2 linked regions of the Pelodiscus sinensis genome follow. The protein of the gene in region 1 interacts with the protein of each later gene in a pairwise test. Links are inferred from orthologs where the notes say so. Each region holds a gene or a part of one and is shown on either strand. Other genes may lie near its edges. The genes, in order: RUFY1 and RAB39B.

The links.
Region 2: the proteins of RUFY1 (region 1) and RAB39B interact in binary tests that used the Homo sapiens proteins (3 or more experiments, as listed by UniProt). The two-hybrid records come from large-scale screens. The link is inferred for Pelodiscus sinensis from reciprocal best matches to the Homo sapiens genes RUFY1 and RAB39B.

Annotation. Positions count from the first base shown.
Region 1 is NC_134727.1:34,041,812-34,051,774, forward strand, and holds the start of RUFY1 (RUN and FYVE domain-containing protein 1), read left to right. Parts: upstream 1-5,480; 5' UTR 5,481-5,508; coding exon 5,509-5,779; intron 5,780-7,583; exon of another isoform or gene 7,584-7,632; intron 7,633-9,506; exon of another isoform or gene 9,507-9,658; intron 9,659-9,963. Other genes in the region: uncharacterized protein LOC142818742, read right to left, coding at 416-426. UniProt on the Homo sapiens protein: Activating adapter involved in cargo sorting from early/recycling endosomes. Regulates retrieval of proteins from endosomes to the trans-Golgi network through interaction with the dynein-dynactin complex.
Region 2 is NC_134723.1:29,301,220-29,311,414, reverse strand, and holds the start of RAB39B (ras-related protein Rab-39B), read right to left. Parts: upstream 3,946-10,195; 5' UTR 2,794-3,945; coding exon 2,579-2,793; intron 1-2,578. UniProt on the Homo sapiens protein: The small GTPases Rab are key regulators of intracellular membrane trafficking, from the formation of transport vesicles to their fusion with membranes.

The sequences.
Region 1 (9,963 bases):
ACATTTATGGGCACTGAGCCAGGAAAAGAAAATACCAGTCAATCCGGATCAAGGCGTTGCGACCCCCCTAAGACAGCCACGACCCATGGGTTGCGCACCGCTGATATAAGTCATCCTCTTAAAGTTTAAACCTGTGAATATTTTTTTCAGATATCCCTAAGTATGTAATTTAGGGATAAAAGTTGGGAATCCATAATAAGCATATATCTTGTTACCCTCCATTATCATATGTATGATTTTGATATCTAAAACAGTATTTTTAAATATAGTAAAACACAACAGTGAGACGTAAGAGCTGTGTGAAACCAGAACCTGGTTCCAGTAGTATCAAAGATAGGCTGTTACAGCAGCCCATGTTCAGAAGCATCTGGCAGATTTCTACATCAGGGCAAGTAGAAACAGGACAGATACTTACGGAACAGGCATGACCTCTATATTCTTCAGCAACCTTGCTAGGCAACTTAATGAGCTGTCAGAAGAAAACTGTGTTCTGCCTTCAAACAGAGAGTAAGAGCTGCACTAACAATCTGTGGCAGAGGTGAATACTGAAATAAAATGTAACAGCAGAAGGGGACCATGCAGAAGCGCTGCACTCTCTTTGGGATCTGTATCAACAAAGGGAACTTTCAGCGGAAGCACAGCCCAGGTTTAATGCCCCTGCTATTAAACAAAGGTTTGAAACAAAATAAACTGTAACAACCTGCTATATGAAACAAATAGTAATTTATTCTGAGTATGTGATATACCAGCAATTCTGCTAAAGCCTGACCACACTAAAACATGCTGAGTTGCTTTCAAATTTCCACGGGAATTTGAACTTAACTAGAACACTCCTAGCATTTCAGGTTGCTTATATCATTACGGTTACGTCTACACAGCAGTGTTATTTTAGAATAACTGACATTATTCCAAAATAACATAATCCATATCTACACTACAAGCAGTTATTTCAACATAATATCAAAATAATGTTGAGCTGGAGAACTTCTTTTTCTGACTCCTGTAACCTTCATTTTATGAGGAGTAAGGGAAGTTGGAGGAAGAGTGCTCTTGCTCTGACTTCCTGATGCATAGACAGCATCAAAAGCCGAAATAAGCTATTTTGACTTAAGCTACGCAATTTTAGCTTTAGCCCTGCTGTGTAGACATGCCCCAAAAGGACTCTGGCCTCCAAAAAACGGGGAATTGTTTAATGCTATTTCCATAGTTGACTTATTAACTTTAAATTCACTTTTGCTATACAGATAACTGGGTTCTATTCATTACTTTAAAAATATAAAACTATGCAGGATGAATGTTAGTAGTCTTGGACATGGTAAAATAGCTCTTTTCTGAGCTCAAATGATGGAAGATTGAAATAAAATGTTCTGCTATTATCTCACTGTACTCTTTCATGTTTCTTTTTGAGTTTTTCATTTTCTCTTATTTTAAGGGGACATATATTCTTTTGTTGTTTGTGTCTTACTTCCAGTTAATATTTTTGCTACTGAATGTATGTACTGTAATATTAATCTGTGTCTGCCAGACACATTAGTTGTTGGAAACAGCAAATGAGGAGGAAGGGAAGGAATCTCTGCCTTCTATTTCCCCTCCACCTCCCTGTTCTGCTTCCACTTTATTGAAAGTAGAAATCTATTTAGTTTTATTTACATATAGTTCAGTTGAGAGGACATATAATCAAAGGTCTTTGGAAATATCACACTTGTTTGACTTCCTTAGTCCTATGGGGTTCTGCTCCTGTTAACTGACTCAGAACATGACCTCTGCACCTAATGGGGAGCCCAAAATGAAATCTATGAGGCCCTGACCATACTGTCAATTGCAGGACTAGGGCTTATACAACTATTGCAAAACAAATGTCCTTTGTCCTACTTTCCATAAAAAACAAACACATGGACACTGTGCCAAATACCATTTCATCCCACTAGATGGAGTGCAAAACATATGGTTGTAACCCTGCTGCTGAACAGTGAGCCTATAGTCTGAATAAATCCTGGGTGAATAATGGACTTCAGACTTCAGTTCAGAGGTTCTCTTATCCTTCACAGACACTTAGGAGTTGCGATTTGTTTTGTGGAAAATAAGTTAATTGTGGAATTTTACATTTTTACAGTACCTGAGAGCAGAACAGTAGTTTATATAAAAAATGTTAGGAAGACACATATTTGGGACCAGACTGCGTTCCATACATCTACATATACACATCTCTCTCCTTCCCTTTATGAGAGGGTTGGTTCATCCACCACCCTGGCACCACACTCACCATTCTCAGAAGCATTGTGCAGAGCAGTATTTCTCAACCCTTTTTTTATAAAGTACTCCTTTTTCAAAAAAAAATTCATAAGTACTCCCTTAAAAAAAGTTATAAGTACCCCCAGTACCTACAGTTTTCAGACCCACATATTTTTTTTCTACCATTGCAACACATTTGTTTAAACAACTTAATCGTAGCTGGGCGGGCAATGAAGTTTTTGGGTGTAAAAAGTACAAAAATAATAAAGCACTGTAAAACTTAAAACAAAAATTCAGTTTTCTCTAAATTTCAGTTGTGTTGATGTACCTCCCAGACTTCTCTTGAGTATCCCTGAGGGTACTCATACCACTGGTTGAGAAAAACTGGTGCAGAGGATGGGCCCTGGAAGGAGAAGTTACATTGTTTCACCAATACCACAGGCCATCCACTCACCAGCATGCCTCAATAGTATCAGTAATGGTCAGAACAGAAATGGTCAGACTCCTTCCCTCAGATCCCTCTAGCAGATTTCCCTGGGACAAAAGGGCCTCAGTCTGGCCCCAATCTTTCTAATTTACAAAAGTTAACCAGATCAAAAAGACTCTCTACTTCACAACAGGACATGATGACTAGCTTCTTTCCTTTCCCCCCACTGTTATCAGTCTTGTCTAACCATTATCTATTAAATATGCTGTGCTTACTAAGGATACATCTACACAGCAACACTAGTTCGAAATAACTGGCTTTATTTCGAAATAGCTTGGTCCACATCTACACAGCAGGCAGTTATTTTGAAATAATGTCAAAATAGATGGAGGACTTCTTATTCTAACTCCTGTAACCCTCATTGTCTGAGGAGTAAGGGAAGTCAAAGGAAGAGTGCTGTATTTCAAAATAAGTGCTATGTAGATGCTCCCAATTTTGAAATAAGCTATTTCAAAATAAGCTACAAAGTTTTGCTATTTCAAAATAAGCTCAATTTGCGTAGCTTATTTCGAGATAAGCCCTGCTGTGTAAACACACCCCAATGAAACTTCTATAACTCTCCTTATAGCTTGGCACCTCTCTTTTGCATCAAATAAAAAACTTTAAAGTAGAAACAAAAATAAATAAATAAACAAAAGATAAGGGACTTGTTCTAGCCTAAAGATGTATTTCTTTTGTTACCAAGTTTGTTGGTAACAAGAGGTCCCCAATTACCTACCTGTCCCTGTCCTTTAGCTTCCACCAAACAAAATATTTCCTAGGACTATCCAACAAAAATAACCGTATAGAATCAGGGGAGGGAAATCAACCATAATTAAGACAAGTTTAAACAAGCTGTAGTCCAGCTGTGTTATATAGTTGCTGCTGGACAGAAAACTGCATGTTACGGACATATTAAGGCACTGTGTTTTAGTCTAAATAGATAATTTGCGAGGTCACATTTTTCTAATCAGGATCAGGTTTGTTGATTGCCTCAAAATCATTATAATATGTCCTTTCTGTCCACACAGACATGTTGTAACTAGGGATGTAATAGGATAACTGTTTACTCGGTTAACCAATAAAGTTTTGGCTCCCAGGAAGCCAGCTGCCACCCTGCACAGCTGGCTCTATATTAGAGCCTTCAGTGCAGGGTAGCAACCAGCTCTCTGGGAGTGGGATGGAAGCTGGGAGCTGGTACATGCTTTTAAGCCACCTTCCAGCGTTCACCAGCTGCTGCCCCGCACTGCTGCCTCTGTATCAGCAGTATAATATACGGTACCTGATTACCTACTTTTTAATATCTCTAGTTGTATCGTGGCTAAGCTGCAGCCATGTTTCCCAACTCTGCTTAAATATGGCTATTTTTGTAGTGTAGATGCTGCAGGGAAGCATACTTCACTTTCAAAAATATATAAGAAACTTAAGGTGAGGCCCAACATTGACCAGGTGCGTTTTTGCGTAGATTACACTTACAGGAAGTTCAAGAAATTAAATATATGTAATAGATTTTTTTATTAATGTACTTACAAAAGGGAAGTAACATAATAGTTTTGAATTTGTAGGATTTCAACTTCAAACATTATTCATTTTCTTGAATAATCACTACACATAGTAAATTTGAATCAGAAACTTATACAGCTTCCATTACTCTTTCCATAACTAATCTGAATTATGTTGTGATTTGTAACAATAAAAATTTTCTTTGCACTAAAATGACAGTTGAATAGGCGACTCGATTTTAATTTTGTTAGCAAATATTTTTTATAGACTCTAATAATAATAGTCATGACTTTTTTCCAATGAAAACCAAAAATTACTATTTAAACCAGTGTTTCTCAAAGTGGTCTGTGAACCCACTCTGAGAAAGCTGATACCAGGCTGCTCCAGTTTGTGTATTTATTAGCTCCACAGCTACAGAGCCTCACGGCTCCCAGAGTATGTCTACACTGCAAGGCTTAACTTGAGTACTTTTCTAATGACTTCCCTTATTCCTCATACAATGAGGGTTACAGGAGTCAGAGTAAAAAGTCCTCAAGCTTGACAGTATTTTGACACTATTGAAATAACTGCCTGCTGAGTAGACGCGGACTAAGATATTTCAGAATAGCACCATTTATTTCAAAATAGTGTTGCAGTGCAGACGTACCCCCATTGGTGCGGTTTGCCATTTGAATAACACTGATTTAAACCTTTCACCCATCATATTCCAGTGTAAAAAGTAGTGCATTCAGATCATTTCAGTGGCAGGATTGTTTATGTAAATTTTGGTATCTGTAGGTAATCGGGATATGACTTTATTTTGCACAAACAAATCCACAAACAAACTCTTCATAATATATAGTAATTTCTTTCAATACTCTTTTCTAGGTTATGATGGTCCCGTTTTAGAAAAGACAATCCAGTCTCAAAAGACTCAATGTGTTTTTTAAATGCTGCAAAATCTGTGACTTCATATACTCTGGGAAAATGCTAACTTAAAATATTGTGTAGAAGTACAGAGGCTGCATTGGGTTTTTCAGAAAGCTACAAATAAGAATTGTAATAATATAAAAGGACATTCACTATACAATATCTAACAGAGTATCATTTGTTGTGATAATCAGTAACCAGAAAATATACTAGCTGTGGCTATAATTTGGAGCATATCACAATCAGGATGTTTAGTATCTGACACTTTTGCTCATGCGACTGGTTGTTGTGTAACCACGCACAGCACTTTTGTCATGAAACAACTCCTATCACCTACAGAGCAGGGAGTTTCTGCTTAACTCGATTGCTCATGACTAGTGTCATATGACATTTTAAAGATGGCTGAAGGAGAGAGTTGCAATGCATCTGCTGTGAAACAGAAAGAAGATTTTGAAATAATTGACAGAAACCTGATTCCTAATGTAACTGAGTTGAAAAACGAGGTGAAAGAAAAAGCTGTTGAAGAATCGGGATGGTCTGCTCCCATCTTTTCACTGGCCAAGAAAGCTTCAGAAAACTTAGCAGTGAGCTATGGCAACGCTCTGAAGTCTGCAGCTTTGATAGGACTCGTACCCAAACCAGTCAGCAATGACAACACAACAAAAACAAGTATGATTATGTTTATTCAGTAAACTTCCTTGTACTGTGTACAAATAAGTTAGTTATAATCTGCAAGTGTCAGAGATGCATTATTACTTTGCATTTATTTAAAAAAACCTATCCCCTGTGGATACTGTAATGATTTATGCAAAGTACTTTTGAACCCAGAGAACAAATCTCAGCGAACTTTTACATGCTCAGGGAAAACATAACCTTTTGATATTTTTGGGAGGATGGCTTTTTATTTTATACATTTTTCTTTCTAACTTACCCAGAAAAGTTCAGCTTACATGTAGCATGACCGCAACAGTGTCTAGTATGGTCTCTTTCTTTACTTACAGCTGGGCTGACTAGAACAAGGAAACTATATATATTGCTTTCGAATCACATTAATCTGTCTCCCTCATTCACACAGTATTGAAACATCATGAAGCAATTATAAAATAAGAGATGTAAAAATCTAATAATAATATATTAAAATTATGTATATTTTAGAAAAATATTAATAAAAACTGAATAGTTTATTAGCAAACATTTATGGATGTCCTTGCAGAACTTAAATCTGCTTAATAAGTACAGGCAGTCCCCAGGTTACATACAAGATAGGGACTGTAGGTTTGTTCTTAAGTTGAATCTGTATGTAAGTCGGAACTGGCATCCAGATTCAGCCGCTGCTGAAACTGATCAGTTTCAAGAGCAGCTGAATCTGGACACCAGTTCCGACTTACATACAGATTCAACTTAAGAACCCCAGGCGTCCTCAAGTCAGCTGCTGCTGAAACTGATCAGCAGCTGATTCCAGGAAGCCCGGGGCAGAGCAACTCTGCCTCGGGCTTCCTGTAGTCAGCCGCTGGTCAGTTTCAGCAGCGGCTGACTTGGGGACGCCTGGGGCAGAGCAGCTGGGATGCTGCCGGGTTGGTCCAGTAGCGCCAAGGAGCGGTGCTGCGGGATCAACCGGCAGCGCCCCACCTGCTCTACCACAGGCCCCGGGCTTTGCTCCACGTCTCCCTGGTCTGCTGGGGAGGGGCACTAGCTGCGTCCCCCCCCCCTCCAGCAGACCAGGGAGACGCGGAGCAAAGCGGCGGAGGACCCGGGCCGGACCGCGGCGCTTCCAGATCAGCGCCGCGGTCCGGCCCAGGTCCTCCGTGGCTTTGCTCAGCGTCTCTCTGGTCTACAGACCAGGGAGACGCTGAGCAAAGTGGCGGAGGACCCGGGCCGGACCCGCGGCGCTTCCAGATCAGCGCCGTGGGTCCGGCCCGGGTCCTCCGCCGCTTTGCTCCCCGTCTCCCTGGTCTGCTGGTTCCCCCAGCAGACCAGGGAGACGGGGAGCAGCTTTTCTCGCCCCGGAGGAGGCAGGCGGCGGGACCAGGCGTCCCGCCGCTCCAGTCCTCCGGAGCGAGAAAATCCCTGTTCGTAACTGCGGATCCGACATAAGTCGGATCCGCGTAACTCGGGGACTGCCTGTATAATCTTTGCTCCACTGAAGTCTAAGGGAGTTTTGCCAGTGATTTCAGTAGGGTCAGGATGTCACTTTCTCTGTAGTGTTTACTGCTGCATCTATTAGCTAGTGTTTCTTGTCAATCTTCCAAAAATTACCAGACAAAATCAGAAGAACTGGAAATCTTCCAACATTGCAGATTAAATGCAACATTAATTTAAAAGAGACAAAATAGTCCCAGGCATAGGGGATAAAGGCAGGACATGAAGTCTCTATCTACATTCTCTAAGAGGGCTCACCTCTCTATCTAGGATTTCTATATTGAGGTATCAGATTCTGAGGTGACCCTGAAGTGTCATAGTCTATTGTACTTACTGAAAGCTCTGTCCCCTGGCAGGCTGATCTAACACAGTTCAAGTCCTACCTAAAAGACAAACATTCATATTTAGCTTTTTTATGTAACTTCCCTTCCGTTTTAGTGTACACAGAGAGAACCAACTAGAGGGTGGGGTACAGTGAACATGAATACTGATAGTGCTCTCAATTGCACAGTAAACGGAAAAATAGGAATGTATTGCGTAATTGAATAATCGTGTAACTGCATGAAATCTTAGTGATTACACAACTATTCAATTGTCCCCAAGGGCAGGGCCAGCAGCCAGTGAGCCCTCTGTCACCCCATGCTGCTGCTTCTATATCAGCAGAAGATGGCAGGCAGGAGCCAGTCCACAAGGGAAGACAGTTTAAAAACCAGCCCCTCACTGCACAGGCCGGCTGCCTGCTGCCCTGCGCTGCTGCCTCTGATACATTGGTAACAGCATGAGGTGGCAGTAGCCCCTGTTCATGGGGTTTGAGCTCCCTGCAGACAGGGGCTGCTGCTGCAGGCCTCTGTGATCAAGCTTGCAAGCCCAGGCTTGCTGTGGACAGAGGTTGCTTTGCAGTCTCCCCTGCCCCTGCCCCATGAGATGGCACAATGGAGCTGGTGCTGGGGAGAGCTGCCTTTTGAGGTAGCACTCCCCCAGCGCTGGCTCCTGCCTGCCAGCTGCTTAAAAGCTGGCTCCCCACATATATCGGCTATGGCGTGCCCCCCTTCCCTCCATGTTGCTGCCTCTCTGTTCCCTGGGCGAGTGAGAGGTGTGAATCAAGTTCCCAACCCCAGACACTGGAGACCAGCACTTTACCCATTAGGCCACTGGAGGATCCACCCCACTGCCCATTGGCCTTCCACTGTGCAGAAACTCAATTTAAGATGTCAACTTCAGCTAAATAATTAATGTAGCTAAAGTTGGGTATCCTATTTCAATCTTATGCTATAGTGTAGACCAGGCTTAAATGGGGTTCTGTGTGTAGTTATTAAAATTGTATATGCCACCCTTACAGAGCAATGTAATGAAATTAATGGGATGTCTCCAGAGTATTAAAGCTTAGCAGCTATACAACTCCTGCCACACATTTCAGATCTTCACAGATTTGCACACAAATTCTGCCACAGAAATTTCAAATCTTTACAGATTTGCCATTTGAGGAGCAAGTAACCATGATTACTTTGGTAATATATAAAGATGTGTGACGTTTTTAAATAGCACTGCATTCCCAGATGGAAAACTGGGTGAGGTCTCGGAGAAACTCAGATCCTTAAATTCAGTAAGTCTTGCCAATAAAATGGAGGAACTGGAACTACTGGTTCAGGTCAAATTAGACATTTTAGGGACTTACAGACACATTGTGAAATAGCAGTTATGACTGGAATAAAAGTCCTGAAGAAGATGTGCTCTTTAGGAGAGTCACAAATAAAGGTAAAATTGGTGGAGGTAGCTTTGTACATCAAAGATCTAGTAAACCCCTCAAAAATACAAAGTAATAGTGTGGACAAAACTGAATCTGATCATGAAAGAAGATCTGTGGTGATAGTGTTAAGGTCTGTTGTAGAACTCCAGGGTTGGAAGGGGATATGGATAGTGTACAGAAATACTGCTACATCTGAAGTTGAAGAAAAATATATAGCTGAATCCAGAGTACTGAAAAATTGGCATGGGAGATTGCTAATCTGATAACCAGGATTTTTAACAATTCTGTCTATCCAGGGATAGTACCAAATGACTGGAAAATAGCGAAAGCCATATGCATATGTAAGGAAGAGGTAGGAGGGGAAAGTGATCCAGGTAATTATAGACCAGTTCGTCTGATCTCAGTAGTATGTAAAGTTTTAGAACAAATTGTGAAAGAATAATTAAATGTATAGAGACAAACATGTTATGCAACATGGTTTTACCAAAGATAGATAGTGCCATAACTAACCTGATTTACTTCTTTGAGAAGTCACCTTTGGGAAGCCTCCATCTGCTATGTGGAGTGTTGACTACTTGCCAGGATCATCGGGATATATGTCAGCTCCCTGTCTTTGCTGATGCCTTGGGCATTGGTACACCTCAGACCTTCAAATTATTTGCCTGTGGTGACATATAATAGTTTAGTCTCTAGTGGGCTGTAATACTTAGCGCTAACTTTCAGTGTTGGTGGCCTGTGATATACAGATTAGACAGGATGATTTGGTGGTCCCTTCCGGCCTTAAATTCCTTGCTTTTGTGACATTCTTCAGTAATTAACACTTCTTTTAATCTAATTTTAGTTTCCTTTTCTTATTCTATATCCTAAATTATGTAAATTATGAATGTTGATAACTATTAGTTTTGATTAGTAAACCACATATTTTGTAGCTGCAACAAATTATTTACTTGACTTGAATTCCATTGTC
Region 2 (10,195 bases), on another chromosome or scaffold:
ACAGCCTGATTCTTAATCAGGGAAATGATAACAGCACCCAAGCCTGAAAGATGAGCAAAGGGAAGGGAAAGTGATTTTTGTCCGACTGTTTAAAATGCTTCCTTTTGGTTTCGTATTGCTTAATGCCAATGACTAAGAACACTTTTGGAAACAGGGCATCTTGCTTAAACTGAACCCTTCCCCCCCCCACACACACACCTACCCTACTCTTTCAAGAAAGGTAAGAGGGCTTCCCTTCCATATGATCTGTGACCCTATGAGAGGTCAGCTGGCCAAACCAGGGGTAAGCAGCCACAATATTTTTAGACTTTAAAGCAAGGAAAAAATATCGTAGTTGAAAAACCTTTCAAGCCATCTTTATGCAGCACAAAACATGAGGGGAGATGAGGAGTGGTGGGGAGTGCTAGCTTAAACTCATTCTTTAAAAAAGTCCTTAACGGGTAACCTTTAAATTCCAAGCTCTAACGATAGAGCCGGTAGCAAATGAACACTGGTAACTGCCCTCTCCCAATGGTATAAATCTGGTGTTTCTAGCCCTGAATGGATGCAAAATAATCAGACCTCACATATGTCACCAGCTAAGGTCTGAGTATTGTCCATCCTGGGTCACAGCCACAGTCATACGAGGGAGAGATTCAGCTACTGAAACATTCTGGATCAGACTAATAAAAAAATGGCAGCTTTTTGAAGCTGCTCCAAGGTTTGGAATGATGGAAGTGGCCACTTGGGAGATGGCTGAGTGAGCAGAGCGTGGGTGAAAGAGGTATGATAAATACAATCATCACATGGCTGCAATTTACCAGATGGTGCTGCAGTGAATCCCCTGGATAGCCCCCGCCCCCATATACTCCTTTTCTTTGCTAATGAAGTCAAGTTTGCTACCAATTAGCCTCTTAAATGACTAGTCCCCATTCAGTATTCACTGCTGCAGGCTGACACACACACACTACAGCAGTACCTGTATGTAGGAAGACAGCATTTCGTCACAGTCAGTCTAAATCCTTTATCTCCAACCCACAGTCAATAGACTTGAGTGAAAGCTGCTACACTTTTGACAATCAAGTTTCCATATTTAGATGCCTCATTTATGATCCTAGGAACCTAATTTTAGGCAGCCCAGTTTGAACACTTGGCTGCTATTTCTTTTCACCAGTCTGTTACATGCTCTTCCTTCATGTTCCTGCATACCCTACATTTTTTTATGTGACTAGCAAATTGCAGTGAATTTGTCTTGGCTTTCTCCACTTGGTGAACATTTATTTCTGCTCCCACATGCAGAGTTCAGTTTTGATTTATTTTCATTTGGGCCAGTGGGAGGCAAACAAGCCTTGTTATGTTTCAAAATCTTTCATTCATCCTCCGCTGCAGAGACAGGCTGTGTGTTTCTGTATAACTTGGGCAACCGTTAATACATGCTCAGAATGTGGATTTTGCCTACTACATCTTTGTGGGCTTAGCAGAAAGTTAAAGACAAAATCTTTATGCCATTGATTTCAACAGGACTTAGACATGAACAAAGCAAGCCAAATTGGCTCTAAAATGGAACTACATCTCAGTCTCCATGTTGCAATTTATAATTTTGGCTTGCTCAGAAGCACGGATCTTTAAAAATCCAGTCTGAGGATTGTAGGGATGGTACTACATCTTGCTACGCAAAAGCCTGTTTAGAAATTCCCTCTTACATAAAAGAGCATCAGTGGAGAAATAATTCATAATGACCTGGAGTGATCATATTTCAATGCACAAGCCCAAGCCAGCAGCATTAACTGTGCATTTCTTGGCTTCCAAGTGCCTGATTTCACAACCTTATTAACAATGATGATTTGTCTAATCAGAATTGTCCTGACTCTTTAGACTTCATTCACTCCCCCTCTGAGGCTTGAATGTATTGTTCTGCTGCATCAAAAGCCACAGCAGGCTCACTGAATGGAACCCTGCCTAGTTCTTTGTACAAAAGGCAAAGGCATCACAGAAAAAGGGAGAAAGGCGGCTAGCTAATTTCATCCAGTCTAGGCTGGCCAGCATCCCTCCCAAGGGCGGAAAGACAGATTCTCTCCACCTAGCACATTTTAAAAGCCAGCTCCCATCTCCGGCCAAGCTAAGGGCCAGGTGTCAGAGGGTTGCAGTGTATTAGGGCCTGTTCTGGGGCAGGCCTGCTGAGAGCCCCTGTCAGGTTAGCTTTGCTCTAGCAAGGGTTTGGCTTGTTTCCTTCCCTGGGCCAGGGCGGATGCTTGCCCAAGGCCGCCTAGGATTACAAGGGATGAGGGTCAAAACGGCCGCCTGGCTAGTCTGGTTCAGCCAAAATAACCAGGAGTCCTGGGGCACCTTAAAGACTGACACATTTATGGTTCCCTGGCCTGGAGCCCACTCCACAGATGCAAGGAGAGAGGGAGAACGGGCTGCGGGCGCTGCTACTAGAGGGCGCTGCCTGCACAGGGGCTTTGCTCCCAGACTAGGCGCCCCCCTCACCTCGCCCTCCTCCAGCAGCAGGTCTGTGAACTCGAAAGAGCCCGGGCGAGCTCGCTTCCCGGAGCAAGCGGAGCTACAGCCGTAAAGCCGCCCCTGCCCCGGCTCTCACCTGAATCGCTCCTGCCCGGCCGTGTCCCAAATCTGCAGCTTGATCCGTTTCCCCGGCTCAATCTCCACCAGCCGGGAGAAGAAATCCACGCCCACCGTGGGGTCCGAGACCTGGGCGAAGCGCCCCTCGGTGAAGCGGCGGATCAGGCAGGATTTGCCCACGGTGGAGTCCCCGATGACGATCAGGCGGAACTGATAGAGCCAGATCGCTTCCATGCTGCCCCCTGCGCCCGGCTCTGGCCTCGCTGGAGGGGGCTGGGTTAGCCCGGGCCTCGCCGGCTTGGCTCGCAGCCTGCCCGGGCACAGCGCTAGCGAGAGGCCAGCTGCGCGCCGCCCATGCCGAGCCGGGAGCGGGTGTCGGGGAGGCTCCCGCGGCCAGCAGGTGCCCCGCGGTGCGGCTCACAGTCCTGCAGCCAGACGTGCAGGCCCCCGGCAGAGGGCGCTGTGGGGACACTGCCCACCCGCGGGCGCCGGGCTCGCCGCAGCCGCTAGGGCTCTTCAGGCGACAAGTGCCAGCCCCACAAGGGCAGGTCTGCGTGGCCGCTGGCTGGCGGAGGAGCCTTCAGGGCGCCTGGCATCTACCTTCGCCTCCCGGGTCATGTCCTCTGGCTCCAGGGAAAGCTTCGCGGGGGTCTCGCTGCCCCCGCTTCTGCCCCACAGCCGCAAGCTGCCTCTGCCGGCAATGCAAAGGTCAGATGGGCTCCATGTGGCCCCGCACCAGCCCAGATTTCTCTCCGCGCCCGCTGGTTGTTTTGCGTTGTGATCAGGATGCGACGGGCGTTTTTTGGCCACTGATCCGTATTTCCTTTTGCAATGGCGGGGGAAGGCTTTTGTCTGTCATGGGAACGAGCTTAGCGATGGCCGGCTGTTTACAAAAGCAGGCGCGGGGTTGGCTGGCAGGGCCGGCTCCCCTTCGAGGGCTCCAGCCTTTTTCACGTTGTGTCAGTACAAAGATCTAGAGCTAAAACTCCGCCGCCTACGTCCAGGTCAGCAACGAAGGGTTCCAAGAAAGCGCTCTGATCCGCCCCCCTCACCAAAACAGAACCCACCTCGCGAAGATCTAAGCCTCCAGGCTCAGGGGATCCGATTTTGACTGAAAACAACAGCAACAACCCAATGCTAGAAGGCTTCCTAGGTTCCGTTATTCTGTCTCCAAGCAGAGAGGGGTTAGTCCTCAAGGGCACCTGGCTAGCTCTGGAGAAGAGGTTTCCTTTCCCTGCAGACAGAAGTGCTGCCCTTCCTGCAGCATGGACTTTAGTCGCAGAGATGCCCAGGGTTGTAAAGATGGAGAGCTGGTGAATAAGGGATGCTGGGGATCACAGAGCTGATGAAATGGCAGCAACATCAGCACCAAACACTCTGACTCATCATTGGCATCAGCAGCTACTGTAATCCGCAGGATAGGAGAGCAACTTCCTTCTGCCTTACTCTACCATATTGATTAGAAAAGAAGCTACCGGCCAAAAAATTAACACAACAAAGCGCCATAGTTTAGCTGAAGACAAAGGAAATTAGCAAACATATCAACTTGGTAAAATGGGATGGCACATTGTGCAAGGCTCAACCATCTAGAAATGCCAGCAGTGAACACCTAATATTATCATGATTTATTATTTCTATTTTGGGAATACCCATAATGTGATAGGTGCTGTCTTTATATGTAGAAGACAGTCCCTAGCCCCAAAAGAGCTCACCATCTAGATAATGATGCTTTTAACTAGATGGATAATGGAACACATTGTACTTGAAACAAAATAGCTACACTGGTATATCGTTGCAAATATTCACCCTTAAAACAAGCAGCCAATGAAAAACATATGAACAACTGGTTATTTAAGTGTCACAAAACTTAGCCAACTAATTGATTAAATTTAACCCCTTCTATTTTTAGCAATATTTTGAATGAGTATTCCCGTCTTCTACACCGTGCTGAGCAGAGTGAAGCAATAAACAATGATGTTTTGAGCACCATCAGACTGCTTAGTGCTGTGGAAACAAAGCCACAGAAACAAGTGTCTTACATTGTATATGTCATTTCATGCAGAAGAAGCAAACACCATATTATACGTTTAGAAGCAGATTCACCCATCACTTGCAATGCAGCCTTTTCAGGGGTGGTACATGGCAGCTTTTTAACACCACATAGGTGCATCATGCACCAAAACCATGTAGGACAGGACGATTTGATTATAAAATCAGCATAAAGACTGTCTTTAGTGTCCAGTGTTTGTACAGCACCTAGTACAGCAGCACACTGAGCATGACTGAACCCTGTAAAATGGAAAAAAGTATCCTGAAAATGACAAAAATGTTGCTAGAACTTGGTTAATAGCAAATCACGAAAAATTAAAATTTGGAAAGTGTGGACAATTGGTGAATAGTTTTGATGAAGAAAAAGGGGCATTTTTGCCTTTTTTCCCTCCAAAATTCTCTAACCTGATACGAAGTGATACCTTGAGAACAACTGTATTCAGGTGACATTGTAAGGGCATGTATTTAGGCAGCAAAAGTGAATTTCTTAAGTTGGAATTTTTCCAGGATACTTATTTGTGCTTATTTCTGTGAAAAACGTGAAGGTATTTTAATGTACTTTAAAATATAATTTATTAATTTAAAATATTTAACCAGGAAGTTCTTGTTTCAATAATATCTTGGGAATAGGGAAAAAGGATGGTTCAAGTAGCTACAGAAATGGGGCAACAGAGTGATATTAAAACCATTAATCAAAGTTAGCTTTACATTAATAGTAATATTGTATGCATATCAACTGTATTCCATCCAACACCTTCAAAGCATTTTGCAAACATGAATTAAGCCTCACAACAGGTCTTGCAGTTTATTATTACTGTTTTTATACATACACCCCCATGCATATTTTTCATTTGGTTTTTGCAGAAGGATGGTGACTCTAGTGCTGTAGCCTACAATTATTATTAGTCATTATTTTAGAGCACTTCAGCATGAAATAGCCACTTTAAAGCATTCCTAAAAGATAAAGACCTTGCCTGGGTCCTTACAGGATTCCTAGCACACAGCAGCTGAAGGACATGGCAAACAAAAGAGAAGGGGCAAATTAGGGCAAGGGTTACAATAATAAAACCATTGGGTTACTCAGCTCCAGAGTTGCTAGCGAGGTACCTGTAGTAACCTACTTCCTGTAAAAAAGAAATGTATCTAGAGGGTTATGAAGAAGGAGGAAGTGGCATCACGGAAAGTGACTGGAAAGATGCTCCACTAATGGGTTCCCACATCCAGAAAGCGGAACAGGTGTGAGAGTGGGTGAAGCTAACAAAGAGTCCCCAGAACCGGTATGATGTGCAGATGACTGCAAAAGGGCTAGGTGTGTGAGCCAGGGCTGAGCACGTAGTCTGACCACTGAGCTGCATTGAGTCTTTAACATGGTGGGAGAGAATCCTAAGGCATTCCCTGAGCCTAACCCTAACCCTAACCCTAACCCTCCCACAACCCAGATGAACATTTCTCATTGCAGCAAAATAAATCCCCCAACCTCCCAGGAATGTCACCTCATTAAGCGCTCTCGTCCTGCGAGTGTCCACCCATGATGCACCGCTCTCAACTACCCACGTTCCAGAGAGCCAAACCACTGACAAAGGAGCTCAGCTTTTCCTGCAGCCATGACACCTGGTCAGCTATGGGTGTTGTAAGTTGTGCGGTGGAACTGTACTGGTTTAGGCTGGAAAATTTAACAGCCCAGTGGCTGAATGTGTTTACATGGAAGATACTTATGCTGAAAATGAAACAGGCCCATTCTGAGGCTACATCTAGACTGGCATGATTTTCCGGAAATGCTTTTAACAGAAAAGTTTTCCGTTAAAAGCATTTTTGGAATAGAATATCTAGATTGGCATGGACGCTTTTCCGCAAAAGCACTTTTTGCGGAAAAGCATCCGTGGCCAATCTAGACGTGCTTTTCTGCAAAAAAGCCCCAATTGCCATTTTTTGATCAGGGCTTTTTGCGGAAAACAAATCTCAGCTGTCTACACTGGCACTTTTGTGCAGAAGTTTTGTGCAAAAGGGACTTTTGCCCAAATGGGAGCAGCATAGTATTTCCGCAAGAAGCACTGATTTCTTACAGTAGGAAGTCAGTGCTTTTGCAGAAATTCAAGCGGCCAGTGTAGACAGCTGGCAAGTTTTTCCGGAAAAGCGGCTGATTTTCCGGAAAAACTGGCCAGTCTAGAGACAGCCTGAATGTTTCTAGCTGTTATTGTGCAGCATTGGAGCCATGTTGGGCCCAGGCTATTAGATAAGGTAGATGAGGCAATGGCATTTTATTGGACCAACTTCCATTGATGAAAGCCATAGGCTTTTATAACAATGACAGATGGAATCGAACCTAGGACTTGTGGAGCTTAGTGCATGAGCCTGTACCACACCAGCTAAAAGCCTGCTGGCTCTTAGCTAAGGCTGTAGAGCAGACTCATTCTTCTCTCTTAAAGTGGTCTTGGTACTACTAAGGTGGGACAGTGCACCACACCCAGCAGGGTTACATTTCACACATCAGAGAGCTCTTCTTCAGGGCTGAAGAAGAGGAAGAGCTTTGTGTCTGCTCAAAACCCTGTTTCACATCAGACGTTGGTCCAATAGCTATTTACCTCGCCCGCCTTAGAATCATAGGATCATAGAGCTGGAAGAGACCTCAGAAGGTCATCAAGTCCAGCCCCCTGCCCAAGGCAGGACCAATCCCAACTAAATCAACCCAGCCAGGGTTTTCTTAAGCTGAGCCTTAAAAACTTCTGTGGATGGAGATTCCACCACCTCCTTAGGTAACCCATTCCAGTGCTTCACCACCCTCCTAGGCTATGTCTAGACTGCAAGCCTCTTTCGAAAGAGAGCATCTAGACTGCACGCGGAACTTTCGAAAGAGGAAGCCGCTTTTTCGAAAGAAAGCACCCAGTGAGTCTGGATGCTCTCTTTCGAAGAAGCCCTATTTACATTCAAGAACGCCTTCTTTCGAAAGAAGCACTTTTGAAAGAAGGCGTTCTTCCTCGTGAAATGAGGTTTACCGCTGTCGAAAGAAAAGCTGCGTTCTTTCGATTTAATTTAGAAAGAACGCGGCTGCAGTCTAGACGCAGGTGAAGTTTTTTCGGAAAAAGGCTACTTTTCCCGAAAAAAACCCTGAGTCTGGACACAGCCCTAGTGAAATAGTTTTTCCTAATATCCAACCTAGACCTCTCCCACTGTAACTTGAGACCATTGCTCCTTGTTCTGCCATCCGTCACTACTGTGAACAGCCTCTCTCCATCCTCTTTGGAACCTCCCTTCAGGAAGTTGAAGGCTGCTATCAAATCCCCCCTCACTCCTCTCTTTTGCAGACTAAACAAACCCAAATCCCTCAGTCTGTCCTCATAGGTCATGCGCTCCAGACCCCTAATCATTTGGTCACCCTCCACTGGACCCTCTCCAATGCGTCCACATCCTTTCTATAGTGGGGAGCCCAGAACTGGACACGATATTCCAGATGTGGTCTCACCAGAGCCGAATAAAGGGGAATAATCACTTCTCTGGATCTGCTGGCAATGCTCCTCCTAATGCACCCTAACATGCCATTAGCCTTGGTTACAAGGGCACACTGTTGACTCATATCCAGCTTCTCATCCACTGTAATCCCCAGGTCCTTTTCTGCAGAACTGCTACTTAGCCATTTGGTCCCCAGCCTGTAACTATGCTTGGGATTCTTCCATCCCAAGTGCAGGACTCTACACTTGTCTTTGTTGAATCTCATCAGATTTCTTTTGGCCCAATCCTCTAATCTGTCCAGGTCACTCTGGACCCTCTCCCTGCCATCAGGCGTCTCTACCTCTCTCCCTAGTTTAGCGTCATCTGCAAAGTTGCTGAGGGTGCAATCCATCCCCTCATTCAGGTCATTAATAAAAGATGTTGAACAAAACCAGTCCAAGAACAGATCCTTGGGGCACTCTGCTAGAAACCGACTGCCAGCCTGATATCGAGCCATTAATCACTACCCATTGGGCCCGACAGTTGAGCCAGCTTTCTATCCATCTTACAGTCCATGTATCCAATCCATATTCCCTTAACTTGCTGGCAAGAATATTGCAGGAGACCGTATCAAAAGCTTTGCTAAAGTCAAGGTATATCACATCCACTGACTTTCCCATGTCCACAGAGCCAGTTACCTCATCACAGAAGCTAATCAGATTGGTCAGGCATGACTTGCCCTTCGTGAGTCCGTGTTGACTATTCCTGATGACTTTTCCCTCTTCCAAGTTCTTGAGACAACAATTGTGAGCTTAGTGCCACCTTTCTCAGGGAAAGGTGAATTCTCTGTTTTAGGACCATGACACATACTTTATTGAGTCCAGCAAGCTTGCCCTCACACCGTTCAATAGATAACTTGCTTTGCCTTCTCCAGAAACTGTTAAGCAGCAAGTTGGCTCAAGCAGTGTTAATCTTCCTGTTACAAGTGCTATCCTATTTTCTCAAATGAAGCTGTTTTTCTTAGTGAGGCAGAGTAAGAGCTCCCTTAAACTTTGCTTAGCTTCTATGACCACGTCCACATGTGCATACCTTTGTCACAGGTCCTACACTTGATAAGTAACTCCCTTAATTATATATATATGTATACAAATATATATATATATATATATATATATATATATATATATATATATACTCCCTGCCTCTGTCATTTCCACTTCAATGCATCTGATGAATGCATATAAAATCATGAGTGGTGTGGAGAGGGTGAATAAAGAAAAGTTCTTCATTAGTTCCCATAATAAAAGGACTAGAGGACACCAAATGAAATTAACGAGTAGCAGGTTTAAAACTAATAAGTGAAAGTTCTTCTTCACACAACCTGTGGAACTCCTTGCCAAAGGAGGCTGTGAAGGCTAGAATTATAACAGAGTTTAAAGAGAAGCTAGATAAATTCATGGAGGTTAGATTCAAGAACAAATCACTTGATCATTGTCTTCGGTACACCCCCTCCTGGGCACTTGGTGCTAGTCACTGTTGGCAGACAGGCTACTGGGCTAGATGGACCTTTGGTCTGACCCTGTATGGCCATTCTTATGTTCTTATGAAAGCTTCTGCCCTAATAAATCTATTCATCTCTAAGGTGCCACAGGACCCTCGTTTTGTCAGTTCCATTGTATTCAACCTGTCTACTCCAAAGGGCCAAACTAAAGAGGTGTTTATAGCTGTGACCCCCATACTCTATCATACAACATCAAACAGCGAGAACGAGAGGGTGACATGACCCACTCCACTCCAAAAAAACCTGTTTGTGACATCATAGTCCCCAGCTTGTGAATCCATGAACTGCTATCACTTTATTATGCTGCTGAGACACTCTAACGTCTGTCTTTAATGCTCTTTGTTTAATAACATATAATATTGGGAGTGGTTTGAACATTAATTTAAATGCTTGATTAATAAAAATGATAGAGCCAGACTGATAATTAATTGCCACTGCTAAATTGAGAACATGGATTGACGATGCACTATTTTAAAAGAGCACTGTAAAACCAGGCTCTGTTTTGCATTTTTTTGCAGCAATTTGAGTATAAACACAAGAATGGGGGGACATTGATATCAGAAATGCTAGGCAGCCTTGTGCAGGGATGTCTCTGAACAG